Saccharomyces cerevisiae S288C: one gene and its partner. The protein of the gene in region 1 interacts with the protein of each later gene in a pairwise test. Each region holds a gene or a part of one and is shown on either strand. Other genes may lie near its edges. The genes, in order: MET4 and NDL1.

Evidence for each region.
Region 2: the proteins of MET4 (region 1) and NDL1 interact in a two-hybrid assay, tested with the Saccharomyces cerevisiae proteins (2 studies listed by BioGRID).

The regions. Positions count from the first base shown.
Region 1 is NC_001146.8:425,908-430,297, forward strand, and holds MET4 (Met4p), read left to right. Parts: upstream 1-1,827; coding exon 1,828-3,846; downstream 3,847-4,390. Other genes in the region: 2-isopropylmalate synthase LEU4, read right to left, coding at 1-847; DNA-directed DNA polymerase alpha catalytic subunit POL1, read left to right, coding at 4,180-4,390. UniProt on the Saccharomyces cerevisiae protein: Positive trans-acting factor capable of stimulating the transcription of the MET genes from the methionine biosynthetic pathway. MET4, MET28 and CBF1 are required for full induction of MET25 and MET16 gene transcription.
Region 2 is NC_001144.5:643,683-646,625, reverse strand, and holds NDL1 (Ndl1p), read left to right. Parts: upstream 1-1,652; coding exon 1,653-2,222; downstream 2,223-2,943. Other genes in the region: HAP1 (Hap1p), read right to left, coding at 1-211; YLR255C (uncharacterized protein), read left to right, coding at 673-1,026; CQD2 (Cqd2p), read right to left, coding at 2,290-2,943. UniProt on the Saccharomyces cerevisiae protein: Required for nuclear migration to the bud neck during cell division.

The DNA of each region.
Region 1 (4,390 bases):
CGCAACCACGGTCATTGTGACAATGTGTAGAGATGCAAACCTTCTCACGCTCAGTAATATGGGTAGCGAAGTATTCAATCTGATCAGCATAAACATTTGGAGAGGCAACTTCTACGGTAGCAGGTAAGTTGAAAATGATTGGATTTTCCTCGGTAGGTTCCCAAGCCTTCTTAACAGCTTCGCAAATTTCTACAGCAAATTCACCTGGAGTATCACTGAAACATTCGGGGGAAAACTCATAGGACCAACGAGTGGCTTGTTGGGAAGGGTCATCCTTAGTTAGTTTCCTAACTAGTTTGGTGGCCTCTACTGCCTTGGAAATAGCTTCCTCTCTAGACATATTAAAAACAATTTCACGGAACATATCACTTGTTGCCAAGTAAGTATGTATAGTAGCCTTTTTAGCACCTGTTAATGCTTCCACCGTTCTCTTAATCAAGTGTTCTCTAGATTGGACAAGACATTGAATACTAACATCGTCTGGGGCGTTTTCTACAGCATATCTAGTGAAGTCGAAATCTGTTTGAGATGCAGAGGGGAAGGAAACCTCGATTTCTTTGAACCCAATATTGACCAGCTTGTGAAAGTATTCTTTCTTTTGTTCCACTGACATGGGATCCGGCAGAGATTGGTTACCATCTCTCAAATCTGTTGATAACCAACGAGGAGCCCTCGTGATCCGGTTATCCGGCCACTTTCTATTAGATAGCTTTGGAGCGTTAAATGGCTTGTACTTGGAGGAAGGGTCCTTAAGCATATTTTTATAGGCTAGCTTCACTGGAGGAATAACTCTTGAGGCTCTGGAGGCCGCATGCTCAGCAAGAGCAATAATACTCTCTTTAACCATGATTGTTCCTTGTCTTTTTGTAAGGAAAAAGTCTACAGTAAACTTCTAGTGTGAGAATCCTTTTTTTTCTTCAAAAAATACCCTTTGAAAGAACTGAGTCACTTACACGTAAGTTTCTTTTTACTGGTCAAGTTGAAAAATAACCAATAAATGATTATGGAAAGAACGTTGAAAGAGGAGAGAGGCTGACCCAAGAGGAGAAAACATCGAACCTACGCGACTCCATAGCGCACATCTCCCATGCGCCCGTGCTTATATATATATAAATATACATACACACATACATGCACGCACATACATGCACGCGCATGACAGTGACTGGCCGTTACTGTACAATTTTTTCAGCCAAGTATGACACACATTCAACTCAGCTTTTCTGAGGCCTTCTTTCTTTTCCTGCGCGTCGGTAGAGCGATGACTAACCTACTACTGTCTCAGAGCCGGTCCCGCTCCGGTAGCAATCCTGGGGCTGGTCATAACAGCCGAGTGGAAGTGTCAAAGCGGAGAACAGAAGCATAAGCTCAATCGCTGGACATACGGATGCTTATATACGTCTTATTGTCGTTGAAAAATATCGAATTTTTTACTTCATTTATCGAGGCTTCTTCGAGCACTTTTCCGCTATGGCTTTTTCCCCGTTTCCTTTTAATCACGTGCGCGGGTAGCACCCGGCACACAGCTGGTGTCTCGTCGCACATGCTATTGTGTGTCATCGGGCCACACAAGCATATTGCTTGAATTTTCTTTCATCGTTCAACTTAAATCCACCCAATCTAGATGTAGCCGTAGCATGTAATAACGTATATCCTTGTTTACATGCATCTGTGCCAGGTGAAACGGTCTGTTTGAACGCACATCATTTCATATATTAGTCAACTCCTGAAGGTCTTCTTGCCTGTCCGTCAACTGTTTAGACAGACTCTCGTCAATAAAGCGCACTTCTGATAAGCACTTTTATTCCTTTTTTTCCACTGTGAACGATGAAGCAGGAGCAGTCCCACGAAGGCGACTCATACAGCACGGAATTCATAAATCTCTTTGGCAAAGATACCGCAACACACCCTAGCAGCAACAACGGTGCTAATAATAATGGCATGGGGAGCACGAACTCGTTGGACCAGTTTGTGGCAACAGCCTCATCGTCATCTTCTCTGGTGACCAGCAGCGAGAATAGGCGCCCCCTAATAGGTGACGTTACCAATAGGGGCAACACTAACCTATATGACCACGCTGTCACGCCAGAAATACTCTTAGAACAGTTGGCCTACGTGGATAACTTCATACCATCTCTGGATAACGAGTTCTCTAATGTGGATTGGAATGTGAATACCACCCATAATAATGCAAACAATAATGGCGCGGACACTTTCAGCAGCATAAATGCAAATCCTTTTGACTTGGATGAACAACTAGCCATTGAGTTGAGTGCGTTTGCCGACGATTCTTTCATCTTCCCAGACGAGGATAAGCCGAGCAATAACAATAACAACAGCAATAATGGTAATGACGACCATAGCAACCACGACGTATTGCATGAGGACCCTTCTACCAATAATAGACAAAGAAATCCTCACTTCTTGACTCAAAGAAGGAATACTTTCCTAACTTCCCAATACGACCAATCAAAGTCTCGATTTTCGTCCAAAAACAAAAGAAATGGCAATAACGGCGAAACAAACAACTTTGGCGACAATATGCAAAATAACCATCCTTTTGAGCCAAACTTTATGGGAAGCCCTTCTCAGTTTCCCGCTGACGCAACTAATATGACATCAATCGACCATGGCGGCTTCACAAATGTTGACATTACATCAACTGAGAACAATACTACCGGTGACAATGGAGTGGATGCGCTATCAAATCTACTACATAGGACAACACACACACCGAACCGCTCCTCCCCCCTAAGCAATGTCACTTCTGCTCAAAATTCCTCTTCACAACAACGAAAACATTCGGAAAGCAAAGTCGATAGTAACAGCGATAATAACAGCTCCAACAAAGCCCCCAATATAACTGTTCCTGACTATTCAATTATACCAACCTCTGTTTTAGTAACTCTATTACCGAGGGTCAACGTGCCCAACGGCGCATATAACTCGTTGATCAGCGCGGGATTTGACAATGATCAAATAGATGCTATAGCCGCAATAATGGCGTATCATCATCAAAAAAAGATTAGGGAAAATAACAGTAATAATAATAAAAACATCAACACCAATGACAGTCAAGAGGCACCCATTCTAAAAAACATCAACGAACTTTTAAGTGTCTTAATACCACCCTCTCCGGCTGAAACTGCTGCGCCAACTACCTTATCAACGTCGCCTTCGTTCAATGAGCACGGTGTAGTAGCAGAGGCTTCTTTTCTAAGCTCCATTTTGGAACTGGGCATAAAGCATCCAAAAAGTAATAATATTCACAATCAACGACAACCTTCACGAAACGATCATAAAATATCAAGAGAGAGTGACGGTAACAATGGAAACGATAATGTCCATCATAATAACGCTGTTATTAAGTCAAGTACGACGCGTGGAGACGAAATTGCCAAGATACGATCCGAGCCAACTTTAAATGCAAGTTCTTCTGATCACAAGGAAAATAGTTTAAAAAGATCACACTCCGGAGATTTGAAAAATAAAAAAGTACCCGTCGACCGCAAGTATTCTGATAATGAAGACGATGAATATGACGATGCAGATTTACACGGCTTTGAAAAGAAGCAACTGATCAAGAAAGAGTTAGGGGACGACGATGAAGATTTATTGATACAGTCGAAAAAATCTCATCAAAAAAAAAAACTAAAGGAAAAGGAGTTAGAATCATCGATACATGAACTGACCGAAATTGCAGCATCCTTACAAAAACGGATACATACGTTAGAAACGGAAAACAAGCTTTTAAAGAATTTAGTTCTGAGTAGCGGTGAAACGGAAGGAATAAAAAAAGCTGAAAGCTTAAAGAAGCAAATTTTTGAGAAGGTTCAGAAAGAATAAAATAACAGACTATACAGTTTAATTATATATATATATATATATACGTGCATTTTTCTTAAAGAAATATAACTTTTTTCTTGTACTGCCTGCAATCTCTATTCTTCATTCATCACACATCTATTCAAACGCGTTAAAATTTTTTTGTTAGCCTATAAGTAAAACGCGTCGCGTGTATCCAATTTTACTGAATTAAATTCTTTACTCATTGGATGATATATATCTTCTTGGTCTAGACAACGAACACATACCAATTCAGACTCACGAGAAAAAAAACTGTCTTCACTCTGCTATTAGAAACCAAATAGTATCAAGGCATAAAATAAACAGTGGAAAATGTCTTCTAAAAGTGAAAAATTAGAAAAATTGAGAAAGCTGCAAGCCGCTCGAAATGGTACATCCATCGATGATTACGAAGGTGACGAATCAGATGGTGACAGAATATACGACGAAATCGACGAAAAAGAATACAGGGCCAGAAAGCGCCAGGAATTGCTGCATGACGATTTTGTTGTAGATGACGATGGTGTAGGCTACGTCGATCGTG
Region 2 (2,943 bases), on another chromosome or scaffold:
TCCTTTTCCGACAAATGGTGCAACTGAGCGGAATTCTGTTACGCTTCCTCTTGATCTTGGACGAATCTGAAGACATGTGCAAGGGTGGAGAGTTAGAGCTGGTGTTGGCACCGGGCGTAGTTGCTGTATGCATGTTAGGACTTCTTGAGACCGAAGACTGGGTCATGGATGCAATGGAAGGCACAGATGAATTATAAGGGGTATTCGACATCTAACCTATTGTTCCCTTTTTTTTTTTTTCTTTTTCTTCTATTTCCTTACCTTCTTGCCTGCGACTGGAGAAAAACTAAAAGGCCAAATTGAAAGGGAAGAAAAATTTTCTGCGAAAACAAAACAAGATGCTTTGATAAAAGGAAGTTGATGGAATGAGGTTCGATGAGATGAAATCAGATACAATTTTGTGCAATATCTTCAAACCTTAAAAGAGCACTGCAGGAACCTATTCTTTGGGAGAACAATAGCGTCTGTGTGCTTGCGGTATCTTGAGTTGTGAGTCTCAAATGTGTGCTTTGCATCTCGAAGAATAATAGAAAAAACCGAAAACCGAAAAAAATTGTGCCTCAAGAGTATATCCGATATATATGAACGCGATCGAGTTACCGGGGCCGTTGCTGGTGCCGTTGCCTGGTATTCTAAACGAGGCCGCGAGGGTGGATTTCGCCCGACGGGTGAATGGGTGTGGGTGGAACGAGGATTGTATCGTTTAGACAGCCGAATTATTACCCGGTTACTCAACAAAAAGGGGCAAGCCAGACAGGTGCAGTGGCTCAGCCGTACAGCTCGTACTGTGGTTTGCTAATGCGCTGGGCGGTTGTTGAGATAAGAAGAAGAGGGAAAGGGAAAGGAAGAAAGAGGAAGAGAGAGAGAGAGAAAGGGCACACGAAATTCAGGATACGGCGGAGGAGTTATCTTTATTTTATACGGTCTTGCCTTGTAAGGCCCTACTCAAGCGGGAACAAGAAAAACAGTTGTAGCTTCCACAAGATGTTGGCTATAGAGATTGTTCTGTGCTTAAAGGCTCGCTAATCAATATTTCTTGAAGTACGATTTCTGTGTGTATAGATTCTCCACAATTGTTTTTCTTAGTGAGGCTCCGCCACGATCGCGTCTTGCCATCATCGTCCATCCATGGAAAAGAGCTACAAAAAACGACTGCTGGTGTACATACAATGCTCTGGGTTTCGTACATTTGCTTACTAAGTGACAGAAGCGTTCATCGATCCTTCGAAAAGGGTAACAGCGGAAAAACAGGAAATATTGGCTACATACTATAACTCAACAACGTATCATGAACTATTCCGCATATTCGTAACCTTATTTGTAGCGCAGTAAAGCCGCTAAAGAGGTCTTCTCCTATCGGATCTTGCTTTTTTCTTCCTTTTTTTTTTTTTTTTACAATAGAACAATAAAAAAACTGAACGTTCTCTATATCATCTGTGACGGCAAGTATCAATTATTTTATCAATTAGTTTGCAGAATCGGGAAAATTAATAACATTAGAAATGAAAGTTTTCATACATAAATTTGCAATTAAGGATGAAAAAGAGGGATAATAAGGGCTACAACAAACCACGAACGGCCGAAAGAACAATCCTCGCAAATTTAATTGGAATATCCAAGGGACATATACGTGCAACAATTGCGACTTTCCTATGGTGCCGAATTTGGATTTGGAAACAGCTATACAGATAATCTCCTCACTGGAGACCCAGTTGAGCGAGCTTGAAGGCGCCACGAAAGAATATGAAAATGATTTGGAACAAGTAATATCAAAGTTAAAAAGCGATCTTCTTGAGAGCCAACAACAAAATAAGTGCAATAAGAAACAGATAACAGATTTAGAGATACAGGTAGATGAGTTGGAAAATGAAAATATCCAACTGAGGAATAAGATAGAGACATTACAATTGGAGAGTGACCGACGACTGGAACGCAACGTTCTACTGGAACACGAGTTACTCGACACCAAAGAGGCGCTGCAAAAGTTAAGAGTCAGCAAAGAAGAAGCCACTAGCGGTGAGACTAGAAGGAACACCAGGTCGTTACCCAGTCAAAATAAAAAAATGAAGTTGTTTAAGGATACTATCAAAGTCTCGACCACATCTTCAACCTTGTACTTGCAGAACATGGCAAAAACTAACAACGCTGCAAGAAGTCACTGTAATATTCCAAATACCCAAATAACACAATCCACTGTGATAGCAACAACGTCTTCCGTTTAATGACACATATAAAATTGTTATATATAATTTTACGTATATATTTACAAGTAGAAAGAACGCTAACGATTTAAGATGACAACCAAGTCTTCGGAATAAATTTTTTCCACCACAACACAAAATCATAAAAATACAATTGATTAATACGCCTCTCATAGACTATCCAGTTTGTCAAGTTCTCCCACATCCATTTAATAGACCACCTCGCATACTCCGAATTAATTCTTTCCACTTTTTCGTCGTAGACCGTCTTGGCGCAGTATTGCGTCATGATCAGGAAAGTCCTCTCTGGCCCGAGTGGATTCTGTAGACATTCATCAAGATGTCTGGTTAGGTCGTTAGTCTTCAATATCAAAAGCACTACACGAGGGATTCTAGACAAAATGCTCATCAAGTCGCTCAGTAACGTTCCTTCCAAGATCCCATTTGCCATGACGTCCATTTCTTCTTGTGTTCGACTCGTTGAAATGTCGTAATTCAAAGCAGCATCAATGCTACGGCCCGTAATTGCAGCCGCTAAAAGGGGAAACTGTTCGTCGGTGATGTTTGCGAATCCTTTGGCATACTTCTTCATTTTTGTCTGGTCCTTGTCGAATAGGAGCGACAACCAAAATTTGGCATAAAGTCTTCTTGTTCTCGTGCTAGGATATCTATAGAGTCCGTGGTCAAATAAAACAATTTCAAAGTTATGGTATCCATTATCTTTAGCGGGCTTAACAGATCG